4 linked regions of the Schizosaccharomyces pombe genome follow. The protein of the gene in region 4 interacts with the protein of the main gene of each other region in a pairwise test. Each region holds a gene or a part of one and is shown on either strand. Other genes may lie near its edges.

Region 1 (3,726 bases), on a different chromosome or scaffold from region 4:
TTCAAGGCCGGTTCAGCTCTTAATTTGATTCGCGAAAAGGCCCATTCTGGCGTGGTAAATCAAAAGGTTATAGATTCAATAAAACAACAACCTGACCACTATGCTGATGCGTATATATTTAATCGTCATTTTGTTATAGCCAAAGGAGATCAACTAGGATTGCCTTTTCACTTGAAAGGTGTCCAGGTTGGTGATACGATACGACTTGATAAAATCGCTTCCTTCGGCTCAAGAGATTTTACTCTCTTTGGTAACCCGTATGTAGACCCTTCATTGTTTACGATTGAAGCGGTTGTATTATCATTCCCTAAAAGCGCATTAAGTGTTCGAGTAAAACACAAGCGTCGTCATCGTCATGATCGTGTAATGAAACATAAACAAACGTATACTATTTTAAGGTAAGTGTGCAGCAATTCTATCATGTTACTAATCATCCAGGGTTACGGAACTCAAACTGAACTAATTCCCTTTCTTCTTTTTATCTAGTCTTCTACTTCACCCATGTATGCTGCTGACAACTAAAACATTTTGTAAATTAATATAATAATTTTGTGTATTAAGGGAAATAGTGACAAGTAATACTGAACGTTGTTCAATAAAATAATAAAAAAAATTTCAGAGAGGATCAAGAAATAATAAAACTCGTAGGAGGAGTACAAATCTAATTTAAGCAATTACAAATCAAGGATTAAGTAGGTAATTGCTGCGCAAAAATAATTCTTGCTCATTTAAAAATAAAGAGGAATAACAAAAACAACAAAAACAACAAAAACACAAAAGAGAAAAAATGCTTTTAAACTTTGAAACATACCCTGTACTTAAACCGCTGCAGTCTCGTACGTATTAGCGCCTAATACAGCAAGTTCCAACGTCCAAACTCTTCTTACCCAAGTTGCAAACTCGATCCCATTGTAGGTGATACTGGTAGAAGAATCCCACCAACACTTCCGAGCTGGTTTCTGCCAAAAGAGGAGCAACTTGTGATAAACAGGAAAATATTCAGGATCAGAGACAGGGCCCTGATCTGCACTAAAATCTAGGTTGGTCAAAGTGACTGAAGTAATACAAGCGCGATGTGGTTCTTGTATTCGCCGTTTCCATTCGTCATCTTCGTGAAATCCGCTGTAGCAAAGCATGCGTACAAGGTTCTTTTCAGCGGAACCTTCTGAGGTGGAGTTTTCGAGATGTAAACAATCAAAGATCTTCTTTTGTTGCAGCAATCGTTGGGCTACACGTTGTTTTAGTTTAAGCAAATCGTTCGGACTAACTTCAATGGCAATATTGGTGGTTGGTGAAATGGGTGGGAGGATAAAAAACTCAATGTCTTCTTTTAACAGAATTATACCACATTTTCCAGGAAAAGAAGGTGGAGGTGGTGATAATGCAATTTCATCATTAGCGGTACGATTTTCGGCCATTTGAAAATAATTTAATATGTACTGAAGTAATGAAGGATCAAAGTCAGCTGTTTGAAATATTAATGGCCTTTGAGTCAGTTGGCATTCTTGAATCTCATAATCCAACAACAGGCCTCTAGGAAATAAACACATCAAGATGGATTCCGGGAGGCCTAAAAGCTGATCTCTACTCAATTCAAATACTGTGTCACGATCGCATAATTGAATAATAATAGGATCTCCTTCATAATTGAAATCGGGATTGGCTGCTACAGTAGGTATTTCCTGAGCCTGAGTTATCACAGACATGAAGGCACAAAAATTCGAGTGTTTAAAAGAGAAGTTTCAATAAAATAAATTATTTTTTAATCAAGGGTAATGATAAATAAAGATACAATCATATATGCGAATGCAACGTACTTATAGGTACTATGAAAGCGGTGCCTTTGATATCGATGCCTACGCAACCTGCACAGCACAACGTTATATGACCATACATACTCCACTATATAACGCATTTTTCTTAGTGTATAATAAAGTTCGTTAAATCATTAAGATTACTGTAGAACAGGAGTAGCACCAACTTTGGGAGGTAAAACCAAAGGTTGATTGCGATGCCAAAAATTTAAAAGTAGAGAGGAAATCTTAGCGGGAACATCTTCATGAACAAAATGACCAGTTTCAGGAAGAATCTCAAGTTGATATTTTCCTTGCATTTGTCCAATTGTTAACGTTTTATCTAGACGATCGGTACCAGCGACAATAAGCATCCTTCCATATGGTGCTCTTAGGAATTTGTCACTTAAACCCTTAAACCAGTCCATCCAATACGGCGATGTTTTGTAAAGATCGGTTCGCCAAACGAATGTGCCATCTTCCTGCTGAACGAGAAGTGAAGGAACTGTAATACAGGCCGATAATCTGTTTCTAGTAACTAAAGTCTTGATATGCCAAGAAATTGCATCATCAATTGATTTAAAGCTAGTAGGACGATTAGAGAGGTACGTTTTCATAAAACCCAATGCTTCCATCGCAGTCCCTTCAACCACATCAATGACAACAAGTCCAGAAGTATTGGGAATAGTTTTTTGAAAAGCACAGTAAGCACAAATGGCACCTCCTAAGCTATGTCCGACCAAAATGATTTTTTCATCAAGCTCAAACATACGTTGAACATAGGAGACTGCGTGAGTAAAGTCCTTAGATAATGTTTCCAAGCTCATATCTGATTCGGGTTCTAACGTTGTTTCTCCATGAGCTCGAAGGTCCAACGCTAAAAAACCAACCTTATTATCTGAATTACTCAAGAGCTCTTGTGTAACCGGTGCAAATGACATGGCACTTGAGCCAGCACCGTGTTGCAAAACAAGTAAGCAACCATCTGGTTGTGGAAGTGTTAAGTACCCATTGATAGTCCCATTCAAAGCCCCACTTTCACCAGGAATTGTTAACTTTTCATCAAAGTAATTTCGCCAATCGCTTAAACTCTCTTCATTATTTAACATTAGTTCCTTGGTTTCGGATGATTGCTCAGATTCATTCTCATAGAGTGTTTGACTGAGTTCTTCTTTACGAAATGCCATTATAAAGTATTATAATATCTTTTTTAGCTTACACGCAGCACTATAAATAGTTCACACGAATTCCTCGTTGGTTTTATGAAGATAGAATATACAATCCCAGAAGCAGAAACGGACCTGATTGAAAAAAAAAAAAATTAATTCAATGTAATTCTGAAATCGATAAATTTTAAAACAAACAATGTGTATTCCCCAGGTAGCTAAGTTGAGTAAATAATATGCAGTGGAAGTTTCCTGTACTTACTGCGGATTCCTCAATGCTCAAATGATTTACACGCCTTCCATCGCCTACGTAAAAAAATTAACGACGTAACATTTAAATATGTTACCTCGCTTTACACCAACGCTATTTTTCCTTACAGACAAATGTGACTAAAATACAATGGTAAAAGTAAGATTGAAAATCATAATTAATTTATACTTTTTATGCTAGTATGAGACAAAAATATGAGTAGATGAATGTATTATCTACTTTTGGCAATAAGCTGGTTTTATTTGAGACCTGTCATAGAAGATGATTGGGTAGATTTCTCTTGCAACTGTTTAATTAGTAGTAATCGTCCAGCTGGTAGAGCTACCGACATTGGAGTAAAGCTAGCAAACAGCTTTGGATTAACAAAAGGAAGTTCAAAAGGTGTTATTCTAGAAATATCTCTGTGGTCGTGGATACTGGTCTCTATTTTTGCGGTAGAATCATTATTGGCAGAAAAATCCTCCTCAGTAGTCAGTTGAGTTTCATCTTGATTTCT
Region 2 (5,824 bases), 420 kb from region 4:
TATGTCACATGGAGACATGCTTTCTACCTTTAAGCTTACAGGAGAAAGCTCAAATGGTAGTAATAGTACTCCAAACGAAGCATTCCAACCTTTTGACCAAACATCATCTCTCTATAATGTTCCGGGTCTAAACAAAAGTTATGTTAGTAACCAACCCAGTTTGCTCACACCTGAAACTTTTCTACCGGATCCAGTTCTCAATTTGGAAGTTGATAAACAATGGACGGCTCCTACGTTTTTGAGTTGGACGGAACTGCTAGGCCCTACTAATGTCTCTGAGCAGTCTTCGCATACTGCAGAGCAAACTTCAAATTTGACCCTTGAAAAAAATGGATGAATCTTTAATGGTTTTTTGCAGGTCTTTGTTTGTTTTAATTATTTCTACGTAATTCATCATATGCTTTGTTCGCGTGGTTAAGGAATTAGCATTTAATACCAGTTTAGTAATTTGCACTTGAGAGTATCCTCATCAATCTAATACTTTAAATTTTCTCTTACTTTTTAAAAGTTAATTAAATTTCATTACTTTTTAAAATATAAATGAGTCAATGTAAATGCAGTAGAAATAATTGCGTATTTTATTGTTAAATATAGTGGTAATTTACATACGTAGTCAAACGACTTGAGATTAAGTAGAAAAAATCAAACCACTTCAAAAAATTATTAAGAAAATTGTACAAACCAAAAAAGAGATAAAAAATCCTTAGTTGATGAATAGAGTTACATAAATGAATGACTAAGCTGCTGAAATGACTCATCTGAGCAATTGGCATATGTTATGGCTTTTTGATAATCATCCTCCAGTTGCTTAATACGACTGGCATAGTAATTATCATCAATTGCACGCATTTCTTCACCTGAAAATGAGCCCGCGGTATCATTTAGTTTTGAGCGAACATCATAATAATCTTTAGATACCTGAGGGGACAAAGACAAAAATTTTTGCTGACTGTTGATAACATCAGAAAGTCTTTTATGTAAATCATTGTTATCCGGGGCTTTTGTTTCTTCAGATGTCATCAAATTACCAAAATGATTACGATATTTTGTAAACACACCACCAGAAGGTATGTCAGATTCTTTTGAACTATGTGCAGCACTAGCATTATTGAATGAATCCTCTTCGTTAAAGTATGATCTTAAGGGAGAGGAGGAAGCTGAAAAGTCCGTAGGAAGATGAACGTCAGTAGAGTCCTTTCCTGATAACTGTTGATTCATTTTTGAATCAGCCAATGCAATTTGTACCTCAGAGAGCTTACGCTGAGTAATTTTTGCTTGCTCGGTAAGATCATTGACCTGATCAGAAAGTTTACTTTTCTCTGTCATTACAGAGGAATATGAATGCTTTAGATCATAGAGCTTTTGCTGAGAATTTAGTAGCTCTTTAGTGCGACCCTCACAAAGTCTCTGGGACTCACGTAACAACTCGTGAAGCCCTTCTAGCTGAGACTCCAAGTAGGAGATCTTTTGTTTCGACTTCGAAAACTCTTTAAGATTATCTTTATTTTCGTTAATAGAAGATAATAACTTTGATAATCCGCTTTGCATTATAGCTTTCGAGTATTTAGCATCAGACACTGATTGTTCTAAGGCTGACTCCAACTCTAGCGCACGAGATTGCAAATTTTCCAACTCAATCCGAACATTCTCATATTCGTACTGTAAATTTAAGCACTTCTGTTGCAACGTACTTTTCTCATCCCTTTCTCTACGGAGCGAATCTTCAAAAGACAATATGGCAGTATTGGACACATCAAGAGCACTAGCGGATGCTTCAATCACATTTGTCTGCATCTCCACTCGATCATGCATCTCAATTAGCTTCGTTTCCAGCTCATAATTTCCATACTCCAAAGCCTCGCAACGAGAACGATAATCGACTAACTCTTCTGAAATTTGCAATATCTGTGATTGTAGGTTTTCATTTTCTTTTTGTAAAGATAGTATTTTTGATGAATCTTCTTCAAACACACTACGAAGTTTATCATAATCTACACAAAGTTTCTCATTTCGAGATTTTAAGAGTTCAGAAGCGGATTCATTTTGCTTCAATAACTGTTGAAGTTCAGTATTTTTTTGATAATAAGAGGTTGCCTCTTCAAGAGTCCCTTGAACTTCGTACTCTAACTTTCCAACTTTTTCTATTAAAGATCCAACAGTTTCGTCCGTTGTCTTTTTCTGGATCAGTGAACGTGAATAATTTGCATTTTCCACGGCAGCATCTCTCTGAGCAGCCAATTTTGCGTTTTCAGATGCTAGGCTAACGATTTGCTTTTTAAACTTTTGTTCATTAGATTCAAGCATTTGCTCAATCACCTTCAGTATTTCCAAATAACTGAGCTGCTCTTTTTTCTCAAGCCTCAATTTTTCATCAACGTGTTGAAACAGGTTAGGAGGTTTGAGAGTATAGCCTTGTTGCATACAATATAACAGTTGCTCCTCAAGCCAAGCTACACGATCATCAGAATTAGAAAACTTAAAATCTGATTGGAGTTTAAGCAGAGAATTACTTTCACTTTCGTTGATTGGAGATGAAGATTCGGAAGACCTAGAAATAGTATCGTTTCCATTAGGTAAAGGAAGAGACGCAATAGGTTTCTCAATTTCGTAAGCAAAGGGGTCAGCTTGCCCAAACTCGTGAAGAGAGAAATCTGCTGAATGATTCATTCCAGAGGTTTTACTAAGGTTTCTCAAAGAATGTAATCCTTGTTCATCCAAGCTAGCATAGTGCCGATGCCTAGCTGATCTTACGGCTTTTTGATTTTGCTCCAAAAAATTGTTAAATTGACTAGACGAGGTGGATGTCACAGAATTCTTTTTGGAATGATTAGGACGGTCGTTTAGGTAACCAAGAGAAACCGTGTGGTTTGAAGCATTTGAAGGTTTCATGCTAATATGCTGAAGAACAGGAATATCAGAAAATTTATCCTTATCCCAATACAAATTTTTGGGATCTGCTTCATAACATAACAGTTGCTTAGGAGCGTCAAGTGCATTAAGATATAATAGTAAAATATGATTGTTTTTTGAAACAATTTTGTATGAAGATGAATCAGAAAGCAAAATAGGGATCGGATTTGAGACTAAGGACCACCGCTGTTGACTATAATTAAAAGCCCAAAGCTCGTTGAGTATCAACCCTTTATTATCACGACCACCATAAATGTAAACCGTGTCATCTATTGTAGTAGCTTGATGACCTTCCCGCGGACCTGGAAATCTTCCTATAGAACGAACCTCGGTCCATGAAAGTGTTTCTAAATCAAAAAGCCAAAGATCACTTAATGGACCAGTATCATTATGCCCTCCATGTACAAATATTTTTCCTTGGACAAGAGTAACTGAGTGATTTGAACGAGGTGGAGGGGATGAGCTATGCAAAAACGGTGTTTCCCATGACCAATCAGTCTCATCAAATTCCATATTAGCCTTTTCAACATTATTTGCATTTGCCTTTTGCTTGAGTTCTGATTGCGTCCTCCGATCAACCCCTTTGGTATCAAACAAATGTATATCATTCAAATATTTTCCTTGACATTCACCCCCAAATATCCATAATTTAGAGTCAACTAACAACATAGAATGTCCAGTGCGAGGCGATGGTAAGGGGGACTGTGTTGAAACCAAATTCCATTGATTACTCTTGAAATTGTATGCGTACAATGAATTATCGCCAACTTCAAATGTGGAATCTGTTTCTGAGTCGCATCCTCCGAAAAGATAAATAGTGTCAGCAGAACAAACGATAGAATGACCAACTCGAGCAGGAGAATCATTGTCTTCCCCTCTATTGTGAGAATAAACCGTGCATGAATCCAGGTCCAACTTAAACAAAGAGTTTGAAATACCAGATTTTTCTCGTCCTCCATGTAAGTACATGAATTTTTCATTCGCAGCATCTAGACAAGAAGCCGGTTTTACAGCTTCCCATTTAAAACTTTGGTTCGTAGATGTCCTTTTATCATTTTCTTTGACTTTGCGAACAACCCATGCACGTATATTTTGCTGATCAATGCTACCGGATTCCACTACATCAAGCTGTTCAGCAGACACATCCTGAGAGTTATCCGATTGACGGCTTAAAACCTTTTGAACCATGTATTGCGATCTTTACCTTGCAAAATCGCTTACTGGTTTTGCAGTTGCAGATGGTAATCAAAGCGAAAGTTTAATCCAAGGAGTTTTTTAAAAGGTTCGGTTTTTACGCTTAAAAAAGAAATAAAATAGAAAAAATATATATTTTAGTTTTAAAAAAGAATTAAAAAGTAAAATTTTCGAAATAATATGAAAAGAGCATAACTTGTGGAGGGTAATGGAAACACACAGTCCATCAGGAAACGGCAACTTAGAGTAGAGAAGTCTTAGAACAACGAATACAATTGCAATACCCTACAATAAATTTTTGTAATACTGTATGATGTTTATAATTTATATCTTCATTAAACATAAAGAAGGGAGAGTAGATACAAGTTTAAGCGCAATAGTATACATTACCGTTGAATGCTCTGTTTGAATTGAAATTTAGAAGTACGAAATATGCTTCACGTTTGAAAAGCTTAGAGCAAGAAAAATGTATTTTTCCAATTACTCTATAGGATAGAATTTAAAATAGACAACCACAAAAACTGTTATTTACTTTATAAGCTAATTGTAGTAAATGGCCTACAAATATTACAAAATTTGATTTATAAGGCACATTTTAAAAATAAAACATTTGAAAACACATGCTGGACAAGTAATCGGACAAAAAAATAAAATTGCGATAAATGAAGCAAATGAGCGTCAATGCAATAAAAATCGATTCAAAATGGACCGATAAAAAGTTAGGTAAAAAAAAGTCGTTCAATTGGAATCCAAAGAATAATGTGTAGTATAAATTAATGAATGAGGTCTATAACAGCATCACATGGGATAGTTTGCAGGACAAGAAAGAATAAATAAAAATAATGAAGCACTAAGCGAAGGGCATAAAAAATAAAAATTTACTCTGAAATCGAAGAAAAAGAACGTAAACTCATTCGTATCTCCTTTAGTACAATCTCATTAAAATCTTCAGGGTTATCAAGATAGCAATGGTGACCAGCATTTGAAATTATGTGGTGCTCCGCCTCAATATTCATCTCCTTCAATCTGTTTGTCGCTTCTAAACCAGCAACATCATCCATCCAATCTTTATCTCCATACATGAATATAGTTCGACACTTCAACATGCGCAAGCGATTCATAATACATCGTCTAGCGAAAGCTCCGGGAGCGAGCAAATTGCCAAGTGCATACTCGCTGGAACCCTTGAGACGAAATATTGAGTAGCAGTAATTATGTAATGCCCTAAACGTTTCCGGGGGAAGCGTTGAAAACCTTCTGCTAGACCAAAAACTCATTAGTTTAGGACCTAAAGGCCCGCTTAAACGAAGTAGAGAAAATGGTGTAACATTTTGCTCCCATAAGAAGGTGATAAATCTTGGAAGAGGATTCTTTGGCTTGCTTGGCCGGGAAGGCTCTAAACCTGTAGTTTCCTCTTGGGTTTGCAGAACCTCATTAGTAACATTACTTAAAGGAGGTTCATCCATAACAGCATGCACAGCAGAGGAAGCAACGGAATTGTAAACTTCCGCATCATCGTTGCTTGCAAAAGGGTTTTCAGGAATGGCAACTGGACTAACTAGTAAGAGTTTCTCAACACGTTCCGGATATTGCATGGCGTAGACAGCAGACAAATAACCTCCCATACTATGGCCCACAAGGATCATTTTCTCGATACCATGACCGATTCTCCATGTTTCTAATGACTCAGTGAAAAACCTCTCTGTTTCTTCGACCTTCT
Region 3 (5,735 bases), on a different chromosome or scaffold from region 4:
ATCAAGAATCCAATATATCCTTCTCCCTTATTGAAAAAGGAACTTAATTAGCTGATCCTTTGAATAAAAGCAATGGCAATTGTTAAAATGAGTAATTTTTAGAATTGGAAATGCTGTGTATCTGTCAAACCCCTCTTAAAAAAAGAAAGGAATAAGGAAAATGAAAACAATCTACAAAATTGAATCGAAGAGACACACCACAGGGAATGAGCAAAAGCACGGTTTACCTAATTAGTAGTACCGAGTTAATTATGTGACGTTTTCAGTTTTTGTATGGTAAGCTCTAATAGTTTTAACATGATGTAACGATGCAGTAAAATAACTAGCCAGATATATTGTGCTCTTTTTAACTTTCGCTAAAAGTTCTTGGGGTAATACACGGAAAGTGCATCTGGGCACTAAAATCATTTAACAGGTTGCTTATTATTCATTCAGTAATTGAAAGTCGCCCAGATTTGTTATGTTTACCAGTAATAGCAATGTTTAATTCTTTGCACATAAAACTCCGTCAAGGTTAAGTCTGAATCTTCTTTTGCTTATACGGGATAATTTGTTTTGATAAAACTAACATTATCGATGTTACCTTTAAACGTTAGTCGTCTTTTGTTTGCTATTTAAATGTCTCGTATGATAAATTGATTGATTAAAAATGAATTGTATAGAAAGAGCAATTTTTTCGACAAAATAGGAAAGTATATCATCCTCATTAGTGCATGTCGAATTGCAATAAAGCTTGATCGTATAAACCTCATTTACAAAACTGATTAAGACATTTGATTCTTAGTTGTTTACAGTGGTTTAATATCTTTCTATTTGATGCCGCTTAATAAAAACAATTGGTATAACTTTAAAAGTTGTTAGGGAATATTGAAACAGTTTACTTTAAAACTTATAAGCAATGACTGAAACATGCTTAAATGCCGGGCTTAGTATCAAAGATAGCCTTATGATTTATTTGTTTGATAGCTTGAACCCAGATATTGTGAATTTTCTTGCTTTTCGCTTTTAAGACGATGGGCTTATCAGTTGTCTGCATCACAATAACTTCATTATGTAAATTGGCGTTCTTTAAGGCATCTGGGGCTTTTATAATAGTCATTCCCTTAATTTTCACAGACTTGACTTGATTTTTCCTTCCTTTTTCAATAAATGGATTTGTTTTAGACCAGCACAGCATTTCACAATGCGGGTTAATCCAAAAATAGCGCCAATGACTCTTTTTAAACATTTTGAAACTCTCACTTCTCGGGTACTTCATCATTTCGTTTCCCATCATGACATGTTTCATCAATTTGTTCACAGAATTTGCATTACAAGTTGAAGAAGATAAACCTGATAGATTCAAATTATCTCTGCATTTTTTCGTATTTGTTTTGCTTTTGAGATTATTGCGAGGTAAGGTGAATACGTCTGACACCGTCGACAAGGAAATAGAAATCGTCGTAGCCGTACTTCTTGCTTTCAATTGACGTGCTGATTGCGAGGAATCATGCCGAGTTTTTTCAACTTCAGCTGTTGGATAAGTACGAGTATTCTTAGGTGCAGACGGATAAGTTGACGCCTCCCAATTATTATGTTTTGTAAAGTCTTTGAAAAGCATTGAGGAAGTTCCGTTTGAATGTCTTGAAGACATATTAATGTCCAAAGTAACATCAGAAGTTTCCAATGATTGACGTGAAGCAATTGAACGATTCTTAAACATCGAGGATTGAGCAATTTTTTCCCATTGTTCCCAGTCATGCTCTTGATATGGGATCTTTCGAGGAAAAACTGCCTTGCCTTGCCTCATACAATTCATAGATCCATTGGAACATAGCTTTTTCGAATTCCTAACATTACTGTGGGAAATATCCGTAGATAATCTAAAATTCTTAAATTCAGCTATTTCTGGATTACTATAGTGGCGCAACCTCCGACGAGGAATCGAGCAGTCAATAATAGCGCTAGTTAATTTTCTTTTCAACCTCGTGGTAGCAACATTTGAAAGCGCATCGGTCCTTAGAATGACACTATTAGCTGATGTGTCATTTACTTCATTTTTTATTAAGGAAAAAACAGAGCTGATAAATTCCATATTCTTTTGCAGATTCCACTGCATGGAGATTGTATTTGCACCACATACAAAGTCTTTGACATTTTTTAGACAACAGAAGTGATTCTCCAGAATATCATGTTGTATACGGTTTAATACATGATTTCCATAGGAATTTAAAATAGGTTTAACAAGCCTATAAGAGGAGACGCGATTGTTTAAATAATTTTCACGTCCACCTTTGTTTAATGCAGGCAGGTAAGAAACATCACGTTCGTAAATAGAAGAATGATTTAAAATGTTTTCTTTTAGTTTGAAATTAGCAAATTTTTCAGTATCTTTCAAATGCATCTCAGTACTTGCAGACATGTCGCATTTTGAAGAATTCGTATCTATAGGAAATTTTTGGCGAGGTTCAAATTGAGCCAATTCAAAAATTTCCTGGCGATCTGAGCTTTTAGTCGGTTTGAAAAGTTTAATGACTTGTTTATTTTTTGAGTCAATATCTTTTATTGAAATTTGAGAGGTGAGAGATTGAAAGAATGACTGAATAAGATGATTCAGAGAAAGTGGGTACAAGCAAGAAAGCTGAAAAAGGCCCAAGTTACTTTTCAGCGCCTTTTGTAGTTGCTGATAAGACAAAAGGAAGCAAATAAACTCATCATCTCTGTCGGTTTCATCTTCGATGTCTATAGAGTTTTCTGGTGATACTGCCTTGTTCAGAGACCTGATTGATTTCTTTATGTCAGCTTTTGTGTTTTCAATTATTTCCGATGATAAATTTGGAGACGGTGTTTTAGTATCGTCAGCTACCAAATGATTTACACTCACTAACTCCTGTTTTGCTAAATTGATGGATTTGAGAACGGCCGATGATTGAGATACCGAAGTTTGTACATTGGATTCCAACGACAAAAAAGGATCTATTGGAAAATCGTGTTTCTCTTCTTGCTCCGCATCAAAAGATGAACTATCAAAATACTTATCCGAGGAAGACTCCAAAAATACAGAATCGTCGTTTTCATCCTCAGTTACCAAAGTATTTTTAGAATCTTCACTTTCATCTATAGTTTCGCCTTTTTCGGCATTCAGTTGAAGCTCGTGAAGGCAAATTCTTAAATTTGTTAATTCCAATGTCAGTTTGTTCTTCTCATCGTTAAGTGAAACGGTCAAAGACTCTACTTCTGTCAATTTTTTCATTAATCCTTGTAGTCTTTGTTCAAGCAAATCCCTTTGTCCTTGCACCTTAGTCTTCTCTTTCATAAGTGTTTTCATGTTTGAAGAAAGTAGATCAAGTTGCTTGATTAAATGGGCATTATCCACTGACAACTTTTTATGCAAATCTTCTTTCTCTGACAGTTGCAGCCTTAAATACCGCAACTGTTGCAGAAGGTTTAAGCCAATGTTAGTAGCATATTGTAGATTGGTTTCAGTAACTGAATATTGATCTACTTGAGAAGACTCACTGAAGCAATTTGTGTTCTTCCTTCTTTCAATTGCAATGTCTTGACGTTGAATAGTAAGCATCTCCGTAATTCTCACCTCCTCCTCCGCTAAATTTTTTTCCAAGTCGCGTAATTTATATCGATTATCAAATTTGTTATTAAAATATGTTTTATTTTCCTTTTGAACCACTTGGTCTTTAATTTCTTGTTCGATTTTTCGTGTTTCACAAAGAATGCTTTCCTCTAACGCTTTCGCATAAGCAAGCTTTATTTTTGCACTTTCATTTCTATTTTTTAAATCAATTGAATATAATTCCACCTCGTTATCTTGTTTTTTCTCCATGAAGGATCAGTATATGTTTTGGTAAGCTCAACTCTCTTTGTCTTTTATATATCGATAAACTCGTAAGCATGCATATCGCAACAGTCATCGTCTTGAATACATAATTTTTATTTCTGGAATTATATCAATTCAATTCGTGTTCTCATTTGGCAAATTTCTCGTATTACGCTTTAACAATAAAACTTAGTAAAAGCAAAAAAACTGTATTTATATTGATGCATTTGCTAGAGTACTTGAATATCTAGCGAAGCTTTAGCAGCTTTCAATATATATATCGGTATAAATACCATTAGTTTGTACTTAAAAATTAACTATTACTTTACAAATGTACCCTGAGCCTCATGATTGACTTGCAAAAAATTGATTTGACGAGGCTACACATGTGTTTAGACAATAATTAACTTTATTTATATTCATATTTAGTTTATTTACTATTTCGAAAAGATTTAAATGCTAATTGTAGACAGTATAAAACGTTTAAAACACAACTCGATATAAGGATTGATTACAGCATATACACCGAGCGGTGAAGTACTCATCGTTAAAATGCATAACGTCCGTTAATGATATTGTTGTAAACAGATACCGAATTACAATGAAAAATAGTGACTGAAAGCACCACGATCACGTATATAATAGTTATTTGACTCTATAAAGAACATAATTCTGCCATAACACTTCAAAATTATGCACGTGAAATATACATAGTACACTGCTTAACAAATCTATTTGTTATATTTTAGGCAAACCAAATAATTAAGTAAAGCGGCATTGCCATTTAATGAGAAATACATTTATTAATAATTACAATCTTGGTGCAATCTACGGTATTGCATTCATTCACCACCACGTTTGAATTTCGTCTTCACTTTTGAAAATTTGGTGACGAACGCCAACGTCGTAAATTCGAAGCTGACGTCTACCCTTAATCCGCCGTAGAAATGGATTCTACGAAGGAAGAGGAAGATTTAAATAATAATATTGATGAAATTTCAGATGGAGAAAATGAAGAAGAGGAATTAGACGAAGCAATTGCAGCTGCATTGCAGAAGATCGAAGTGCCATCGATTCCCAGACGTGTAAAAGTGTACGAAATGGAAGATGAAAACTGGGTAGACTGTGGCACCGGTTATTGCGATGGAAAAATAGAGGGACCGTTGGCTTATTTCATTGTGCGTTCAGAAGCTGATAATGAAACCATCCTTTTGAAAACACAATTGATTGCGGAAGATATATACAGCCGTCAAGAAGAAACTCTCATAGTCTGGCAAGAATTGAATGGTACTGATCTTGCTTTAAGCTTTCAAGAATCTAGCGGTTGTATAGACATGTGGATGTTTTTAGCAAATGTTCAAAAGGCAATATCATCGGTAACTAGAAGTTACTCCAACGATGATATATTGACGGATGAGGGGGCGCTTAATGAAAACTACCTAAACACGGTCGATCTTCCAGCCCCAGAGCTTGCTAATTTAAAAGAAATTGAAGAAGCAGTATATGGATATATGCAGTCTATTCAATCAAGAGATAGTTTGGTTCGTTATGTTTCAAATGAAAATTATATTGATAGACTTATTGAACTTTTTCCTCTGTGTGAGGATCTAGAGAATACAGATGACCTTCATCGATTGTGTTCCATAATAAAAAGCTTTGGTATGTTAATCTACTTTATACTTTTTAGATTCGTTAAATCCTTGCTAATCGCTGTCAGTGCAATTGAACGACGCCCCTTTACTCGAATCGTTGTTCTCTAATGATGAAAAGCTAATGTGTGTAGCTGGTATTCTCGAATACGATCCGGAATTCCCCAATATCAAAGCGAACCATCGGGAATATTTAATGGATTCCAAAAAGTTTAAGCAGGTGGTTCCCATTCAGGATCCACGGATTCTTGCAAAAATTCACCAGACATTTA
Region 4 (4,587 bases):
TGTTTTCGCCTAGGTATGGCCGTAGACATTAAACATGTCTAGTTTATAAATTATATAGTCAAGAAATCTTGAATGCAGCCCTTAAGTGTAGCTTGTTATCAGTGCAGAAGAATAGTTCGTAGTAAGAAAAACTGCGTAGAACAATACTACAAAAAGGCAATAAAATCGATCAATTAGGTTTTCTTTTGAAAAATGGTTTATGATGATCAATCACTACATACCAGTTATTGTTTTATTGAGTGTATTCAGTAGGGAAGTATTTTTTCCCGCAATTTGGGTTGGTCAATGATTATGAAGATAAATTGAAAACAATGGACATACTTGATACAAATTGACGTGTTGCCATCGTTGTCGCATGTGGTAATATATTAAACCATTATATTTGACAACCATTACTTATATTGCAAGAGATTAAGCAAGTCTATTTATAAAAGCCTGTCAAAAAGTATTTATATGTTTGGAAATGTATAACCTGGAAAACCTACATTGATACACTGCTATACTCTATCACTTACTTAAGGTTAAAAAACAATAAATTCAAAATATATTATACCAAATAAAGTAAACTAAATTGAACCAAACCCAATATATTTTCTTTTTGTATCTCCTAATTAAAAACCCAAGACCGAAAGAGATATACTCTTGACGTTTATCTAATAATTTTTACAAAGCACGAATTTCCTAAACTGAACTGTCAAACAGATTATCTTAAAAACATTTCGTACAAGGCACCAATAATTACTCATCGATATCCTCTGCTTCTTCTTCACTCAGGTCATCCAATTCAATATCATCACTTTTGAGCGCTTGTTTCTTTTTCTGCCGCATTTGCTCCTTATGTTCTTGATCTTGCTGAACTGATTCACGAATGAGTTTTCTTTGCTCTTCTCTGGTTTGGCGTTGCGTTACAACATAAATACCAAGAGGCGTTTGCTGCCAATCTATTGTCTGTGCAAACTGTTCTACGGAATCGGAATCAATGGGAGCAAACTTCTGTTGATTTCGCTTCTCAGTCATAAACTTTGATTGTTGTTCAAGGCGATTCACCAAAGTCAACAATCCACGATTAAGTTTAGCATTTTTGCTTCTTTTAGCAAATCGCTTACTTCTGACAATAGCGGGTATAACGAGCTCAGGGAATGAAATGTCAGTGGCATATAAAACATAATATTCGCTCAAGAGTTCCAATAATTGATCAATTAAACCGTCCTGGTAGACCTTTGTTCTTAAGTATGACGAAGATGCACGCAACTCAACGTCAAAATCCAATGGCTTAAGCGTACTAGCTTTGGCTTTTCTTGACACATAAGAAGAATCCAAGACCTCGAATAGCGAAGGTGCAAGAGGGATAAACACACCAGTATGGCGCGATAAGTAAATTAGACTTCGGATGATGTGAAATCTCATTGGAAATAATTGCGATGACGGTGAACTCATTATAACTCCAAGGGCTATTTGGACTAAAGGATAGACCAAAGATTGTAATTCTGAAGCAACTCCCTTTTCTCTACTCAACCAGGCTGCTTGACTCAATAAACGAGCCCAAAAGTCTAGAGAATGCACATAACTCCAGCTTTGAACAGGCTTTCGAGAATCCTTACTAGGTTGATGAATGGTGTTACGAAGAGTAATAGCAAGTTGTCGAATGTAACGGAATCCGATTAAATAACATGATTCAGCGTCCAATAAAAAAAGATTAACAGCACTATTTTTCAGGAAATTAATTTTATCGAGTGTATGAACGGTAGTGTAAGCTGATTGTCGAGCCATACCAAGATAAACCTCTTTTAAAACGAATTCCAGCAGAGTTATGTCAGCTGTCAAGCATAATGTACGAAGCAATACAACAGCTGAAAACCGAACGCTGTCATCACGAGTCGAACTCCATACTTCAACAGTTGCCTGTGTAAACTGTTTAAGGAATTTTCGATAGGTAATCATATAAGGCAATACATTCTGAGCTTCCCGAAGTAGTAAAGAGATATTCTTGGCATCGGTCATCCCTTCTAGCAAACGTAAAATCGAAAATCCATAGGATTTTAACACAGGGCGTAGCTTCGGAAGCACCTTTGAATCAGTGTTTATAAATTTTTTTCCTTTCGCATCCTCTTGAATGGGAACATGATAATTCAACACTTTGGGGACGTACTGGATGGCTAACAACAAGAGGTCATTGAAAACTTTTGAATCGCTAATAGTGTATTTCAAATCTTCAGCCTCCTCCTCATTTAAGAATGCTGCTGCCTTAAACGCTTGCACGACCTTTTGTAGTGTGGTCAATGAATGGTTCGTCTCCAAAAGCTTTTGCCATTGTTGAATTGTATCACTTGTCAGAACGATTTTTCCGCTAGAAGATTTCAAACGTTCATTCTCATCAATTTCCTTCGCCATTGCGTCTGTTTCAGCGGCGTTGAATTCAAGCAAGTCTTGGTCATTCTGCTCAAGGAACTTGTAAAATTCTGGATCCTTTTCCTTTAGGCCTTCCAATTGCTTTTGATAAGATTCCAAGCCATCCTCTTCTTCTTCCGATGATTCAGAGGTAGAGTCTTGTGTATTTTCATTTGGCAAATTTTTTCTTTTTCTTGAGGAACCTGCATCATTCGAATTCGCAGAGTCTAATTCTTCAAATCCGCCTTCCAAAAAAGCATCCATTGACATGGAGTCATCTTCAGAAGGGGTGTCTTCGCTATTCACGTTTTGAATAAACTTTTCTACGTCTCTTTTCAATGTTTCATCTTTTCCCTCCTTTTTAGAATGCTTTTGTCGTATGCCTTTATCAGTGTCTTTCTTTTTTATTTTGTCATTCTTTTTAGCCAAAGCATTAGCTTTTCTGGCTTTTATAATGGAAGATAACTTCACCATGTGTGGTATGTGCACAGAGGTTGTTAGAATACCTCCTTCAAGAATTAGTGCCCACCATACTCAGTCCAAATTTCTTCACAATTTCCACACCAAAGATATGTCCTTAATAATCATACTCCGGCAAATTTATTAAATGTATATTGCTTTGAACAGAATTTTGCTTTTTGAGAATCGTGAGAAACCTTATAGGCCTTATGAATGTGAACAAAAAGCAGGAGTCGATACCAGTAAACACCGGATCTGAAAGTATTTCCTCTAACGACAATGAAAGGTTTGAGCAAGGAAAGGGCGTCGGCTCAAACCTTGGATCCCATTTCTTTGAGCCGGTAGAATACTATTATTCTGATGGTAAACCGATGAATCAAACAGAAGCAAGCCAGATGAAGGGAACCTTTTCTAGAGATTTTTCTTTAAATGAAATGAATAATGAATTTATCACAGATTCTTTCTTTTGTACAACGACTCCTGATCCAAAAACTGAATCTCCCTCTTTTGTGAAATACAATGCCCATTGTGATGACCACCCAGAGATTAGCGGCCATGTGTCCTCGAATGATAAAGACTTTGCATACTTTGAAGATAAATCTGAAAATCAACCACTGGTTACTCTTCCTAACGAGAATAATCAGGTTATTGAACCGTTAAGCTCACAAAGTTGTAAATCTCAATTATCAACCCAAAATTATTCGGAAAGTGATTTTGGTTGGAACCAGCTGTGTGATCTCGATCCTATATTTAAATCTTTGGCTTTTACAGACGATACTAATCTATTCCCTGCATTTGCAGACTCTGAAGCCGCACTGATTATGCTGAAGAAAAGAGAAATGACGAGAGTGAAGCATAGGGCAGGAAGGCCAAGAAAGTATTCGTATGTTAATAAAGATTTGAACTTCGAGGAAGGATTGCCAAGAAGAAGGGGAAGACCTACAGGCTGGAGGAAGTATCCTGAAAAGGAGGAAATATATCCTACTCTGTCTCCAAGGATTAAGAAACCGAGAAAAGTTTTCGATGCTGTAGTCATTCCGGTTACCATAAAACCTAGTATATATACAGAGCCCTCGTTACCTCATCATATCGATTGGAACAATGGTTGTTCTGAGGAATTTGATTTTGAGCCATCAAGAGAGGATGAAGACTTCCCTGATTTAACTTCTGATTCTACTGGTCAAGATCCATTGTCTAGTGAGCCGACTATTTTTGACATTTCTCCATTACCTAGTGATATGGAGCCAACTTTTTCCGAAAATTCATTAATTACCATTAACAAAATGGCAATAGAAGAACGGAAACAATCACGTCGACTTGAGCAACCACTAGCTGAATCTCAACATCAAGAAGATTTGTTGAATCCCTACGGTGTAGATCAAGACTTTGATGAAACTTGCATCAATGAGTCTGAACAACAAGCCACGCATATTCCTAATTCAAGTATTAAATTTAACTATGATTACACTCCCCCTAAGTCTGCTACCTCCCATAAGCATAAGAGGGTCGATCTTCTAGCATCTCGGAAGGAGAATGTTTGGACTGGATTGTATGGGAAAGTACAAACTGAAATGGTTTCCAACAGAGGCGAAGCTGTGTTGAATGAAAATAATAGCAAAAATCGTACTAATGTCACTAAGCCGAATTCATACAAAAACAGTGTTTTATCAATTGGGAATAATCATTCAAACCATTCTAATATTATTAAACCGAACACCTATAAAAATACTATTTTGTCCA

The links.
Region 1: the proteins of noc201 (region 4) and SPOM_SPBP4H10.16C interact in a two-hybrid assay, tested with the Schizosaccharomyces pombe proteins (one large-scale study listed by BioGRID).
Region 2: the proteins of noc201 (region 4) and tea3 interact in a two-hybrid assay, tested with the Schizosaccharomyces pombe proteins (one large-scale study listed by BioGRID).
Region 3: the proteins of noc201 (region 4) and num1 interact in a two-hybrid assay, tested with the Schizosaccharomyces pombe proteins (one large-scale study listed by BioGRID).

The regions. Positions count from the first base shown.
Region 1 is NC_003423.3:2,905,419-2,909,144, forward strand, and holds SPOM_SPBP4H10.16C (phosphatase activator), read right to left. Parts: upstream 1,822-3,726; 5' UTR 1,707-1,821; coding exon 819-1,706; 3' UTR 544-818; downstream 1-543. Other genes in the region: aco2 (aconitase/ribosomal domain-containing protein), read left to right, coding at 1-398, 439-463; SPOM_SPBP4H10.17C (carboxyl methyl esterase), read right to left, coding at 1,955-2,980; SPOM_SPBP4H10.18C (uncharacterized protein), read right to left, coding at 3,469-3,726.
Region 2 is NC_003424.3:3,213,970-3,219,793, forward strand, and holds tea3 (cell end marker Tea3), read right to left. Parts: upstream 4,305-5,824; 5' UTR 4,099-4,304; coding exon 721-4,098; 3' UTR 544-720; downstream 1-543. Other genes in the region: DNA-binding transcription factor Thi1, read left to right, coding at 1-337; cardiolipin-specific phospholipase Cld1, read right to left, coding at 4,983-5,824. UniProt on the Schizosaccharomyces pombe protein: Acts as a cell end marker required for efficient new end take-off (NETO), whereby growth is activated at the cell end to generate bipolarity in extending cells. Also required for proper placement of the septum.
Region 3 is NC_003423.3:896,160-901,894, reverse strand, and holds num1 (dynein-anchoring factor Num1), read right to left. Parts: upstream 3,840-5,735; 5' UTR 3,821-3,839; coding exon 914-3,820; 3' UTR 532-913; downstream 1-531. Other genes in the region: serine/threonine protein phosphatase PP4 regulatory subunit 3 Psy2, read left to right, coding at 4,762-5,473, 5,532-5,735.
Region 4 is NC_003424.3:3,629,811-3,634,397, reverse strand, and holds noc201 (Noc complex Noc2 family subunit), read right to left. Parts: upstream 2,878-4,587; 5' UTR 2,863-2,877; coding exon 739-2,862; 3' UTR 524-738; downstream 1-523. Other genes in the region: DNA recombination mediator Swi2, read left to right, coding at 3,057-4,587.